4 linked regions of the Sus scrofa genome follow. The protein of the gene in region 1 purifies or fractionates together with the protein of each later gene. This does not show direct contact. Links are inferred from orthologs where the notes say so. Each region holds a gene or a part of one and is shown in the gene's direction. Other genes may lie near its edges.

Region 1 (2,181 bases):
GCTGACCACGCCAACCTATGGGGACCTGAACCACCTTGTCTCTGCCACCATGAGTGGTGTCACCACCTGCCTCCGCTTCCCTGGCCAGCTCAATGCTGACCTCCGCAAGCTGGCAGTCAATATGGTGCCCTTCCCACGTCTCCACTTCTTCATGCCCGGCTTTGCCCCTCTGACCAGCCGTGGAAGCCAGCAGTACCGGGCCCTCACTGTGCCTGAGCTCACCCAGCAGGTCTTCGATGCCAAGAACATGATGGCTGCCTGTGACCCCCGCCATGGCCGGTACCTCACTGTGGCTGCTGTCTTCCGTGGGCGCATGTCCATGAAGGAGGTGGATGAGCAGATGCTCAACGTGCAGAACAAGAATAGCAGCTACTTCGTAGAATGGATCCCCAACAATGTCAAGACGGCTGTCTGCGATATCCCTCCCCGTGGCCTCAAGATGGCGGTCACCTTCATCGGCAACAGCACGGCCATCCAGGAGCTATTCAAGCGCATCTCAGAGCAGTTCACTGCCATGTTCCGCCGAAAGGCCTTCCTCCACTGGTACACAGGTGAGGGCATGGACGAGATGGAGTTCACTGAGGCTGAGAGCAACATGAATGACCTCGTCTCTGAGTACCAGCAGTACCAGGATGCCACCGCAGAAGAGGAGGAGGATTTCGGTGAGGAGGCCGAAGAGGAGGCCTAAGGCCGAGCCCCATCACCTCAGGCTTCTCAGCCCCCTCAGCCTTCTTCAACTGCCCCTTTCCTCTCCCTCAGAATTTGCGTTTTCTGCCTCTTGTTTTTCTTTGGGGGGGGGGTCTATCTAGAACAGTGCCTGGCACATAATAGGCGCTCAATAAATATTTGTTGTTTGTTGAATGTCTCCTCTCTCTTTCCACTCTGGGGAACCTAGATTTCTGCCATTCTGGGTAACCCTGTGTTTCCTTCTGGTGCCCACTTCCTCCCATCTGCCCAGTAAACATTTCCCTGTTTTTGAGATAATGCTTCAAGAAGCTGGGTTCCAACCAAATCCCATTTAGAACCTGATAGATGACCACCATCCTAGGCCTGAGAAGTAGCCCGGGGGAAAGGAGATGCAGGAACCTCCCCTGTCCCTGCAAGGAAAGGGTGGGGCTTTGGAGAGGGGCCTCCAGGCTGTTGAAGTCCTAATTTCCATTTATCTCCCTACTCCTCTCAGCTTCTGGGGGGGTGTTAACAGTATTATCTCCATTTTCAGTCTCCCTCCAAGCTCTGTCCTGAGTTGTTTGCTTGGTAGGAGTCTGGCCCCGACCCTGTCCAGAGGAATCCTTCTTCCCCTTTACCTCCTTGGATTCCTCTCCTCTGTTCAGAAAAGGGTCAAGGGGAGCAAGGGAGAGATGAGCCATGTCCCTAAGCCTATCTTTTTACACGAAAAAATGAATATAAGCCCTTCTGTACATACATGGACAGGTGTGTGCTGTCACCCTAATGTCATTTGCCAGAGAGGGGACAACATCTTTTCGGCAACATCTCATCTCTTAACTTTTTTGCTATTGCCTTTCCCCCCTACTCTTGGTTTTGTTCTATTCTACACTTCTATTTTGTGTTGAACTTGCTTTTTTTCATATTGAAAAGATGACTGCCCCAAGAGCCAAAAATAAATGGGAATTGAAAAACAGTTGCGAGATGTGTGCTCATTCAGGGAAAAAACACTGGTGGAGGAATGGGGCTCAAGTTCAGTTACACCATATACTGTTTCCATAAGTTGATATATGTCTTTATTCTTTAATCCCTGGTCTCAATAACTGGGATGGCTGGAGGCCCAAATGCAGTAGAAAAGGGAATTGAGGTCAAGTAAGTGGTTACCAGACCAGCATCATCAGTGTCTCCCCGATTAAATGGAGATTCCCTGCCCAGAACCCAACAAACTGGTTGGACCGAGGCAATTTTAACAGTGATCCAGAAGAATCTCAGGAATGCAAAGCCACTTGTAGTTTATCTAGGGCCCTTTGGGTTATAGGTATCCTGCTATTTTCTCTAGCCCTGTGGGTTTTCTTAGACACCTTAAGGCAAACATCACTGGAGGGATGTTACACCATGGTCCTGTTCTAAACTGACACTGTTCCACCTGACACCATGCTTCAGAGCACAATGTAACAAGTCTCTAAGCTGTTCTGGAAGTTCAACAAATTTAAAAATATATAAATTATCCCTGACCAT
Region 2 (4,036 bases), on another chromosome or scaffold:
GACCTGGCATGGCTGTGGCTGTGGCAGAGGCCAGCAGCTGTAGCTCTGATTCGACCCCTAGCCTGGGAATGTCCATATGCCTCAGGTGCGATGCTTAAAAAAAAAAAAAAAGTGAATGCTTTGTAAAATTACACAGAAGTTAGCCATTATCTTCAGCTGGTGCATGACCTTTCCCAAGCATCAGACAGAGCCTACTCTGCTGCCTACTCACATTTGTCCTGTAGTGGCCTGGGAGAAGGGCTCAGAATAAGACAACAGGGCTCAACCTTCTGAGTTTACAATCTGCCTTGTCCCTGGCCTCCACTTCCTCACAATTTCTGGACTTGAGCACTAAGGTAAAGAACCAAGCTCTTGCACAAAGTCAACAACAAAAATATCCAACAACAAATATTTATTGAGCACCTAGTGTAAGTCAGGCACTGTGCTAAGCACCACATGAGCCTCAGCTTTCTCATAGGCAAAATGAAAAACTGTGCTTCTCAATAGAGAAACAATGAGCACGAGCATCTTGGGTGGGACAATCCTTTGTGGATATCTGTCCCCTGCCCTCTAAATGACAGGTATGTTATCTTGTAACGGGGACAAATCCACTGATGCCCCCACACATTTCCAAACGGCACCTAAGGGGAAGTTCCACCCTGGATGGAGAATTCCCAGAGTACCCTCCATGACTTCAGAAGCCAAGGAAAGGGGGTAAGCCTTGTAAGTGGCAGGTTTAGGATGATGCCCCGGCCCAAGATAAGCAGGATCTGGACCACGTCTCCGGGAAACAGCGCCTTCTATCAGCCCCAGGGTGATGTCAACATCCTTGGGGCTCTCAGGAGTCGGAACTCCAACTCCCTATGCAGCCAAAACACAACCCAGGAACTTGAGGTTTCCGTTCTCTACCATTATCTTTGGACTTTGGGTCCTGGAAGGAAAAGAATGGCAGTGCTCTCGTCACCCAGTCGCTCGGAATGCGAAGGGTTAACGCAGGTTGCCGCGCAGAAGCCCCCCAGTACCGCTAGAGGGACCATCCAACGCAGCGCCGCCGGGCGGCTTCGCGGTCACGTGGGGCGAGGGCGGGACCAAGCGAGAAGCCAGCCAATAGGCTGTGCTGTCGATGGGCTTGATAGCCAATAGGAGCAGGGAAAGGGGTCCCGGGACTAGGAAGAAACAGCGGCTGGGAGGGGGCTACTGGGACATGGGGCTTCTGACCATTCTGAAGAAGATGAAGCAGAAAGAGCGAGAGCTGCGACTGCTAATGCTGTATCCTCCCCGGCGCCGGAGCCGCGAGGGTAGCGGGATGCTGGGGGGGCTCCCACCGGGCGGGCGGTTTCAGGCGCCCCCTGCCGGGAGCGGGATGTGCGGCCGGCTGGCCCGTACCAACTGCCCTTCTGCGTCACTCACGTGGGCCCTACCATCGCTTTTGGCAGGGGGCCGGGAGGAGGCCGTACCACCGGCTCAGGGCGGGGGGGGGACTTCTTCCCAAGGCCAAAGGTATGGGAGTAAAGGCGCAGCGGCCGGGCCTGATGTCCCAGTGTAGGGGGAGGTGAGGCCCGGAGGTGACTCGAACGCTACCACCCGTCGGTCTGGCCCGTGCGTTGGGCCGCCGTTCTCCCCGGTCCTGACCGCCTCCTCCCCCTGTCAAAGGGTGCCAGGCCCCGGCCGCGCCCTCAAGGTCGGAATCCCGGGGGCGTGTGGGCCCCGCCCTCAGCACTGGGCGCAGGTGGCAGGTGGATATGGACTCTGCGGGTAATTTTGCCGCTGGGTCCAGCGCTTGGTTGCCTCCCGGCCGGTGTCACCACATCGGACAGCTTGTAGGCCCGAGAGCCCTGCTGACCTTCTGAGTCCCACTGGCAGGCATCACTCCTCTTTGCCAGCCCCCTATCCCCGGAGAGGCTGTGGTCCAAGAGCTGGACAATAAGATCTGGACCCCCAAGCTCCCCTTAGCAGGGGAGAGAAGACATTTATGTGCGCAAATAACTTGAATCTTCACGTCACGTCTGTTTTGACGAACTCTGAGAAAGGCACAGGGAATTCACTCATCCAGTAGACGTTTTTTGAGCGCCTGCTGTGGACCAGGCACTGTTCTGGGGGCTGGGATAAAACAGCAAAACAAACAAACAAAAATACCCGTATCTTTAAGGATGCTCTGTGTAAGGCTGAGGGGAGAAAGGAGAAAGATGTTAGCTAACAAAATAGGTAAAATATATAATGTGTGGCAATTAAGGCAGTTTAAATAAGGTAGTCAAAGAGGGCCATACTGAGAAGGTACTAGTTGAGGAAAGGCAGGGCGGTGAGGGAGGCACCACGTAGATGTCTGGGGAAATTGTTTAAGGAAAGGGAACAGCACGTGGAACGGCCTCCAGGGAGGAACTCAGCCGGGGTGTTCAGAGGACTGTCTGGGAAGGCGGTGTGGCTGAAAAGAATGAGCCCTGGAAGGTCAGGTCCAATGGAAGAGGCACCTCACCTGGGGCCTTTTGGTTCTGGACTTTTCCTTTAAAAGAAGTGCAGAGAGGGAGTTCCTGTGGTGGCAGAGTGGTAAGGAACCCGACTAGTATCCATGAGGACTCAGGTTCCATCCCTGACCTCGCTCAGTGAGTTAAGGATCCAGCGTTGCATGAGCTGTGGTATAGGTCGCAGACGCGGCTCAGATGCTGTGTTGCTATGGCTGTGGTGTAGGCCGGCAGCTGTAGCTCCACTTTGACCCCTAGCCTGGCAATGTCCATGTGCCACAGATGCAGCCCTAAAAAAGACCAAAAAAAAAAAAAAAAAAAGTGCAGAGAGGAGGTGAGATGTAAGACTAGTTAGGCCCCTGCCGTAACACAGGTGAGCTAGGATGGTAGCTGGGAAGCGGTGAGGTGACGGAAGTTGGGGGGACATGCTGAGAGTCAGGCCAGCAGGAACTGCTGCTGGATTGGACATGAGTGTGAGAAGAGTCAAGTGTGACTCCTGGGTTTCCTGCACCATCAGCAGAATGAGATGTTGGAGGGGCTGGGGAACATATTCAGGGGAAGGTGAGAGCTGAGTTTTGGCCATGTGGGAAGCCTCTGGGACATCCTAGAGATGGCAGCGAGGCAGCTGGATGTAGGGACCCATATCCAGGGGAGCAGCTGGGTGGGATGTATGAGCTTGGGAGTCCTCAGCGTAAAGATGCTGTTTGAAGCCTGGTCCTGGATGAGATTGCCGAGTCAGGGAGTGTGGACAGAGAAGGGGGCCTAGGCCTGCGCAGAGCAGGAGGTCAGGGCGAGGAGGAGGGGAAGGAGGAGGAATGACCGGGGAGATGGGAGAACCAGGCGAGGGGAGGAAGGAACTGGCCACTCTGTCAGCGCTGCTGCTGGAGCAGGAGGAAGAGGGCTGAGGACCGCCCAGCTAGTAAAGAACGACAGGGCCTCTCAGAGGACTGACCTCAGTAAGAGCAGTTTCAGGGAAGCAGTGGGAACAGAAATCTCATGGGTTCAAGAAAGAGCATGATGGAGTTCCCGTCGTGGCGCAGTGGTTAACGAATCCGACTAGGAACCATGAGGTTGCAGGTTCGCTCCCTGCCCTTGCTCAGTGGGTTAAGGATCCGGCGTTGCCTGAGCTGTGGTGTAGGTTGCAGACGTGGCTCGGATCCCGTGTTGCTGTGGCTCTGGTGTAGGCCGATGGCTACAGCTCCGACTGGACCCCTAGCCTGGGAATCTCCATATGCCGCGGGAGCGGCCCAAGAAATAGCAAAAAGACAAAAAACAAAAAACAAAAGAAAGAGCATGAGGACTGAAATTGGAGTGGGGAGTATGGACAGCAGCTTTAGGAGATCTGCTATAAAGGGCACGACGTAGGAGTTCCCTGGTAGCCCAGCGGTTAAGAACTTGGCGTTGTCACTGCTGTAGCTTGGGTTCCATCCCTGGCTCAGGAACTTCTGCATGCTGCAGGTGCAGTCCTGCCCCCCGCCCCCCAAATGGGGAAGGAAATCAAGGAAAAAGTAAGAAAGGAGGGGTCAAGAGAGGCTGTTTTTCACTTCTAAGTGGGAGAGACACCAGCTTGGCAGCTGAGGGGAATGAGCCTGCAGAGA
Region 3 (3,567 bases), on another chromosome or scaffold:
GGAATATATGAAATATATATGGAAATGTATATTTTTATATGTGGGAATATGTAAAAATGGAGCTATTCAGGTTGAAATGGGTGTTGTGAAGGCAGTTAATTCAATAATTTCCCTTTCACTCCAGTAGTCTTTGCAGAGTTTTATGGAATCAGAGAGGTATGACAGTAAAATTTAAAAACTACTGACCTATTTTATAAAATTTATAAAATTAAATTATGTGTGGTTTTTAGGTGAAAATTAGTGGAAAGTAGGAATGGTTTTTGCTATGATAATTTTTGTAGCTTTCTATTTATGAAGTATTTATGTGTTTTTCAAGACCTTCATTTTAATTTCAGGCTATATTATTACATTTCAGATGACTTGAGTTTTCAACTGGCAACATACATATACTGTGAAACTTTGTGTAATGCTTTGTACATACAAAGCAGGTGTACAGAAATATTTTATCATGTCTGTTGCATGAATATGACTTTATGTGAAAAGTGTATCTTATGGAAATATCAGTATTCCGTATTGCAGAATCACTGATGAGAATGCATTGAGGAAAAATATCTCTGCTTTATAAAATCTATCTCTTGTAATAGTTCTATATAATACCTTTCTTATTGTTTTGTGTCTTTGTGTTACAAAATCTTATGCTGATAAAGCATTACAGTACCTACCACACAAAGAATAAGTGATCATTCTTATTTTAATGAAAGTAATGTTAAATAGAGATAGTTGATGTGCCCTTAGTTGTATGATAGCAAATCTAGCAGTCTCAGTGAAGGTCATCCTTAGATAACCGCTCTGACTTCTGAGGTCAGTTTTTTGTTTTGTTTTATTTCTGGATGTTGAAAGTTATCTTTAATTGCTCACCTTTTCACTTTCACCTGGGAGACCATACAGTTGTTTTTGGTCAACAGTCAACATTACATAATGGCTTTTTATATATCAATTTATAAGAGATAAATATTTCCAATTATTTATAATGTTCTCAGTAAACAAGATGGCAGTGTTTAGTACTTGACTGGCTTCCTCTTTTTTATGAAGGTATGAAAATAAACTAATTTCTTTATATGATTGATATTACAAATCAAGAAACTAATGCAGTTTTTTTAATGGCATTATAGGTTCATGAAAGCTTTAAGTTATGCTTCGTTAGATAAAGAAGATTTATTAAGTCCTATTAACCAAAATACCCTGCAGCGATCTTCCTCCGTGAGGTCCATGGTGTCCAGTGCGACTTACGGTAGCTCAGATGACTACATTGGTCTTGCCCTTCCAGTAGACATCAATGATATATTCCAGGTATCATAAATTCTGTTTTCTTGTGAGTTGGTTTACTGTTTTTTCATATTCTATAACTGCTTACTAGGAATTATAATCTAGAGTGAAATTATAACTTGGGGGAAAGCGATTTTTTTTAAGGTAGTTTTATTTAAAGAAATTCTGTGATGAAAATTATTTCACTTTTCTCAACTATTCTATTCTCTTTTATTTAGCATCTCTAGGTCCTCAGAACACTATCCTTTTCTTCTCTTATCATACCAAAACAGTATCTTGTTTCTCTATCAGTCTGTTCTCTGTAGCAAATTTTAGTTCCTGGTTTTGCTTTTTAGTTATATTTGAGTTATTACTTGTTGGTTTTTTAAATTGAGATGTAATTGACACATAACACTGTGTAAGTTTGAAGTGTATGATGTACACATTATTTTATGTAATCCTTAACTCCGTTTATCCCATACATGGCAGCCACTTGTGGTAGTCCCATAAAAAACTCAGAAATCTCTAGATGAGAGATAGTACTGAAGAATACACATTTATTTAGAAGTCTAAAGACATTCCAGATAAATAATTGTTTTAATATCCACTTAAATCATCAAGAATAAATAAGACTTTAAAGGTTTTATGCTATTCTGTCAAATTTTGACTTGATTTAATAACCCTCTTCAGTAATCTTATGATTACAAGTTCATGTGGTATAGTAATTCAGTTTAAATTATATTTCATTTAATTGTACTAACATTCATAAAGTGAATTTCTTTTTATAATAGGACTTACCATGATTTATGTCTATTTTAGGTAAAGGATATTCCCTATTTTCAGACAAAAAACATACCTCCACATGATGATCGAGGTGCAAGAGTATTTGCCCATGATGCAGGAGGTAACATATGGTTTTTTTTCTCCTCTATATTAAAAAGAAAATTCTTCTCAGTAGGATGACACTCAAAATTCAGGTATACTTACTTTTGGATCAGCTTTAAAAAAATATAAGCAAAACAGTTGTTTGAGTACTTTAACATTAAACCACAGTATTTTTGTTGCGTGTGTGGAGAACTTAGGAAACAACTAAGTACCTAGCTTCTCAAAAGGACAAAAACCAAATGAAGTGCTTCTGTTTTAAACAAATAAATAATAACATAAAAAAATTGTAATACCCTCATATGTCTAAGAAACAGCTGTTTGGAGGAAAACGAAGAAAAATGTGCTTATACAGTATAGGATCTCTCTTTATTATGAGAGATCCTGTACTGTATAAGTATTTTCATTGATACATGCATATCAGCCACAGACTTAAAGCTTTATAATCGTGATTTTTTTTTTTCTTAACAAGGACCTCTTTAGACTCCAAATTACTACTTTTCTTTATGCAAATATTGAGAGTAATTGAAATGATGCCTTAATTGTATAATCTTTTTTATTTTGTTTTTAAAACATCATCTTAATATAAACATATCTGCTGTTTAAAACAAATTACCTTTTTTTCTCCCCAGTTAAGATTAGATTTGAAGTCCTTGAAAGAGTTCTGGTTTTCTTTCCTACTTTTCCTTCTTTAAAATTTCGTGTAGTTTAAGGCACCTTGAACCATGTGTCATTGATACTTTCTTCATCAGATTATGTTTTATATTTACTTATGCACAGGTCTTCCATCTGGAACTGGAGGTCTTGTAAAAAACTCTTTTCACTTGCTACGACAGCAGATGAGTCTCACGGAAATAATGAATTCAATCCATTCAGATGCTTCTCTGTTTTTAGAAAGTACAGAAGACACTGGACTACAGGAACATACAGACGATAACTGCCTTTATTGTGTCTGTATTGAAATTCTGGGTTTCCAGCCCAGTAACCAACTGAGTGCAATTTGTAGTCATTCAGGTGAGTGATTATGTCCTTCTAGATGAATCCAACTGAATTTGAATCTTCTCTAGTCACAAGTCCTCTCTCAGCCCTGTTAATCATCCCAACTCCATTCTCACTACATCGCACTTTGTTCAATCACTTAGCATCTCCCTTTTGGAGCGTTAGTGTTTCAGTCTTCAATTTTGGCCCCTTCCAATTCATCTCCTATACATTGCCTGGGATATCTGTTGCCAGTTCTTTACTGATTATTCATGTCCAGCATACAAGACTCTAAATGTGATCTTTCTGTTGTCTTTTGCACCATTCTCCTGTCTTATAATTGATTTACCATTACTGACGTAATGTTTTTGAACAGACTGTGTTCTTTTTTATGATTCTAGGCATGAAAAATGTGTTTTCCCTGCTGTTCCCTCTTACACCCTCCCTTCTCACACACATGCA
Region 4 (4,205 bases), on another chromosome or scaffold:
CATTGCTCTATATATTAGTTTCCCTTTTCCAATTAGATTGTGGGTTTCTTCCCCCAAAGGAAGTATTTCTTTTGCATATGCTTCGGAGCCACTCTTAGCTCTGGCCACATAGTAGGTTCTCAAATATTTGTTGATAGATTGGCTCAAAAAGTTGCAGTAGTGCTCTACACGTGGAAGAGACGATCTAGTAATTAGCTCATTTAAAATAAAGGTTCCTCTTTCTTCAGGAATATTTTTGAATATCTGCCTGATTGCCAACCAAAAAGGCCTCATCTTGTCTTGCCCTGGATTTATGCCTAAAATGCAGTCACAATGGATAGGACGACAAAAGATGAAGCCGTTTATTCAAATGGGATAGGCCATTTTTGAGAAACAGTGATTTCACAGCAAACGTTGGAGTAGTAAATTGGGTGGATAAGCTTCCTGGCGCTGTAGATCTTAGTCTCTACTTGAGATCGTGTATAAGCACTGAACTCAAAAAATTCTTTTTAGGTTTTTCATGCTTGCAACCAAGAGTATACACTGGAAAAAAAATGTTAATAGGAGGGTAGACACACACTCAGGGTCTTAAACGTAATAAAATTAGGATTAGAAGTAAAGAAAACTGTAGTACTTAAGTCTATTCTAAACTCAAAAACTGGACGTCTGGAGTACCACGTGGTGTGTAGAACGAACTTAGATAAAAGAACTGAATGGAAAAAGCCAAGAGGTCAGCGCAGGAGCCTGTTCGCCAGGCTGTTGGTCAGCAAACTGAGCCACTCGCGGATTCTCGGCCCTGAAGACCGCCCCGAGGCCCCTGCCGCCGCGGTTCCCCGGCCTTTTACGCCTCCCTCTCCAGCCGGAAGGGGCGCGGACGGCAAGGGCGGTGGAGAAGCCCCGGCAGAGGAAGCGGCTCCAGGGGTTAGTCCTTAACCTGCGAGACCGCAAGACTGAGGACCGGTGGGGTACTGCCGGGTAAGGGCTCCCATCTCGGTCCAACTTTGCAGTTAAGCTACGACCGGTTCAGGGAAGATTCTGGACGCCTCCCCGCCGCCCCACCCCCCAGCTGTGCGGAGAGTAATTCATACAAAAGGAGGACTCTCCTCAGCCAGGGAAATCCCAGGGACCGTCGATAAACTCCCACTAAACCTAGAACCGAGTGAGCGCTCGACCCCGCCTCCCACCCACCAGCAGTCGTCATCCTCCTGGTTGAGAGGAGCATGCGCCGGGCGCCGTGTGCTCGTCAGTGGGCTGAACGCACATCGCCCACGGTCCCCGAAGATGGGGGGAGGGGACGGCGGTGGAACCGGTGCCGGGTGGAGGTGGCGCGGGGTAAACTGGGAAAGTGGTGTCGTGTGCTGGCTCCGCCCTTTTCCCCGAGGGTGGGGGAGGACCATATATAAGCGCCGTGGTCCCCGCGAACGTTCTTTTTCGCAACGGGTTTGCCGCCAGGACACAGGTGAGTACGGGTGTGGCCTCCGTCCGCATGGCCTCCGCCGGTGGCCACGGCCTTAGCGTGCCTCCCGGCCCCCCGCGCGTAGAGGGCTCTGCGCCCTGGTCCTGATTCCGAGCTGCGGGCGGGGGGAGGTGGAGAACTCGAGGCCCTCCGCTCTCGCGGTTCCCTACCGCGTGCCCGGTGGCGGCCTGCTGGGGCGCCGTGGCCGCCGCGTGCGATCCGCGCCTTCGCGCCCGCCCCGTCTGTCTTCGCGCTCGAGTTCGGCCGGCAGCCGCGTGTTACTGCCAGGGCGGCCCAGCCGAGGCCGCCCAAGGTGGCCTCCGTGCCCGGCGGTCCCGGGGCAGACGGCCGCGGCGGGGCGGGGCGGGCGGTCGGAGACCCAGCGCCCCGCCCGGGCGGGCTGCGAGCGCGGAAAGATGGCCGCTCCCGGTCTCAAGATGGAGGACGCGGACGGCGGGCGGCGCACAAAGGGCCGGGCGGTGCTGCCCGCGCCGCTTCCCGGGACTCGCGGCCCGGGTGGGGGAGGGGCTGGGCGCCGGGGCGGCCCCGTTCGCTGGGTGTAGGCCGGGCAGGGCCCGCAGGGCGCCGGTGCTAATGCTCCCTGGAGTTTGCCCTTGGCTGTTGGGGTTGTGCCTGAGTCTCCGGTCGTCGGGACAGTAGTTTAAAGAAGGTTTTTGTCGTCTTAGGTGTCGTGAAAGCCATCGCTAAAAGCTAAGCAAAAATGGGAAAGGAGAAGACTCACATCAACATCGTCGTCATCGGACACGTCGATTCGGGCAAGTCCACCACTACTGGCCATCTGATCTACAAATGCGGTGGGATCGACAAAAGAACCATCGAAAAGTTCGAAAAAGAGGCTGCGGAGGTCGGTAAAGTAACGTCAGCAAATTAAGTGGTAGTTCTCTAAAACTAGTGTATATCTGACTTGAACTAGTACATTGCAAAGTTTGCTAAGTGGCTTAACTCCAGCCAAGTTTAGGAGATGGAAGTGAAACCTAGCATTGCTTCCAAGTGGGACTAAGGAGTTTAGTTACCGAGTAACCCTTCTTAATCCCTGCAGATGGGAAAGGGCTCCTTCAAGTATGCCTGGGTCTTGGACAAACTAAAGGCTGAACGTGAGCGTGGTATTACCATTGACATCTCCCTGTGGAAATTCGAGACCAGCAAGTACTACGTGACCATCATTGATGCTCCAGGACACAGAGACTTTATTAAGAACATGATTACAGGCACTTCCCAGGTTTGTAGGATTAAGAACTCCTGAGAGTAACATTTTGAGTTATCTATAAATTGGCGAAACCATGGATCTGTCCTTTTTGGAGAGGTTTTCACAGGGTGTGGCCTTTTTTTCTTTTTTAAAGGCTGACTGTGCTGTCCTGATTGTTGCTGCTGGTGTTGGTGAATTCGAAGCAGGTATTTCCAAGAACGGGCAGACCCGTGAGCATGCTCTTCTGGCCTACACCCTGGGTGTGAAACAGCTCATTGTTGGCGTTAACAAAATGGATTCCACTGAGCCACCCTACAGCCAGAAGAGATATGAAGAGATTGTAAAGGAAGTCAGCACCTACATTAAGAAAATTGGCTACAACCCTGATACAGTAGCATTTGTGCCAATTTCTGGCTGGAATGGTGACAACATGCTGGAGCCAAGTGCTAATGTAAGTGGTTTTGATGAGTTCTCAAAACTTAAGTCTGGGAAGGGATAAGTTTGAAAACACTAATTGATGATCTTGTGTTTTAGATGCCTTGGTTCAAGGGATGGAAAGTCACCCGTAAAGATGGCAATGCCAGTGGAACCACACTGCTTGAAGCTCTGGATTGCATTCTACCACCAACTCGTCCAACTGACAAGCCCTTGCGCCTGCCCCTCCAGGACGTCTACAAAATTGGTGGTAAGTTGAACGTTACACTCAGCTGGTATGGGTTGCAGTGATGTTTGTCTTCATACGAGATAATTATGCTGTGCTGTGAATACTTCAGGTATTGGTACAGTCCCTGTGGGCCGAGTGGAGACCGGTGTTCTCAAACCTGGCATGGTGGTCACCTTTGCTCCAGTCAATGTTACAACTGAAGTCAAGTCTGTTGAAATGCACCATGAAGCTTTGAGTGAAGCCCTTCCTGGGGACAACGTGGGCTTTAATGTCAAAAACGTGTCTGTCAAAGACGTTCGTCGTGGCAATGTGGCTGGTGACAGCAAAAATGACCCACCTATGGAAGCAGCTGGCTTTACAGCTCAGGTAACACTTCAGTGACAGGTTTTTAAACTGCCAGAACCTTAACTGTCTAAATGTCTAAAATGTGCTAAATGCAAATTTTCTCCCTAAGGTGATTATCCTGAACCATCCTGGCCAGATCAGTGCTGGTTACGCACCTGTGCTGGATTGCCACACAGCTCACATTGCCTGCAAGTTTGCTGAACTGAAGGAGAAGATTGATCGTCGTTCTGGGAAAAAGCTGGAAGATGGCCCCAAGTTCTTGAAATCTGGTGATGCTGCCATTGTCGATATGGTTCCTGGCAAGCCCATGTGTGTTGAGAGCTTCTCTGACTATCCTCCTCTGGGTAAGAGTGCCTTTTTAGTGTAATTAAGCTTCAGTAAAAATGGAAAAGCAGTTATGTAGAGAAAGTGTTTCTCATGGTGATTTAATTTTTGTTTTAATAGGCCGATTTGCTGTTCGTGACATGAGACAGACAGTTGCTGTGGGTGTCATCAAAGCTGTGGACAAGAAGGCAGCTGGAGCTGGCAAGGTCACCAAGTCTGCTCAGAAAGCT

The links.
Region 2: the proteins of TUBB (region 1) and ARL2 purify together in Homo sapiens (co-immunoprecipitation; 3 studies listed by BioGRID and IntAct, counting the BioPlex papers as one, with this or other methods). This does not show direct contact. The link is inferred for Sus scrofa from reciprocal best matches to the Homo sapiens genes TUBB and ARL2.
Region 3: the proteins of TUBB (region 1) and RICTOR purify together in Homo sapiens (affinity purification with mass spectrometry; 3 studies listed by BioGRID and IntAct, with this or other methods). This does not show direct contact. The link is inferred for Sus scrofa from reciprocal best matches to the Homo sapiens genes TUBB and RICTOR.
Region 4: the proteins of TUBB (region 1) and EEF1A1 fractionate together in Homo sapiens (co-fractionation; 3 studies listed by BioGRID). This does not show direct contact. The link is inferred for Sus scrofa from reciprocal best matches to the Homo sapiens genes TUBB and EEF1A1.

The regions. Positions count from the first base shown.
Region 1 is NC_010449.5:23,250,602-23,252,782, forward strand, and holds the end of TUBB (tubulin beta chain), read left to right. Parts: coding exon 1-688; 3' UTR 689-1,639; downstream 1,640-2,181. UniProt on the Homo sapiens protein: Tubulin is the major constituent of microtubules, a cylinder consisting of laterally associated linear protofilaments composed of alpha- and beta-tubulin heterodimers.
Region 2 is NC_010444.4:7,164,080-7,168,115, reverse strand, and holds the start of ARL2 (ADP-ribosylation factor-like protein 2), read left to right. Parts: upstream 1-1,183; coding exon 1,184-1,277; intron 1,278-4,036. UniProt on the Homo sapiens protein: Small GTP-binding protein which cycles between an inactive GDP-bound and an active GTP-bound form, and the rate of cycling is regulated by guanine nucleotide exchange factors (GEF) and GTPase-activating proteins (GAP).
Region 3 is NC_010458.4:24,135,006-24,138,572, reverse strand, and holds part of RICTOR (rapamycin-insensitive companion of mTOR), read left to right. Parts: intron 1-1,112; coding exon 1,113-1,290; intron 1,291-2,064; coding exon 2,065-2,149; intron 2,150-2,907; coding exon 2,908-3,141; intron 3,142-3,567. UniProt on the Homo sapiens protein: Component of the mechanistic target of rapamycin complex 2 (mTORC2), which transduces signals from growth factors to pathways involved in proliferation, cytoskeletal organization, lipogenesis and anabolic output.
Region 4 is NC_010443.5:92,420,546-92,424,750, forward strand, and holds the start of EEF1A1 (elongation factor 1-alpha 1), read left to right. Parts: upstream 1-1,405; 5' UTR 1,406-1,438; intron 1,439-2,121; 5' UTR 2,122-2,156; coding exon 2,157-2,300; intron 2,301-2,495; coding exon 2,496-2,675; intron 2,676-2,796; coding exon 2,797-3,093; intron 3,094-3,176; coding exon 3,177-3,327; intron 3,328-3,415; coding exon 3,416-3,672; intron 3,673-3,760; coding exon 3,761-3,995; intron 3,996-4,095; coding exon 4,096-4,205. UniProt on the Homo sapiens protein: Translation elongation factor that catalyzes the GTP-dependent binding of aminoacyl-tRNA (aa-tRNA) to the A-site of ribosomes during the elongation phase of protein synthesis.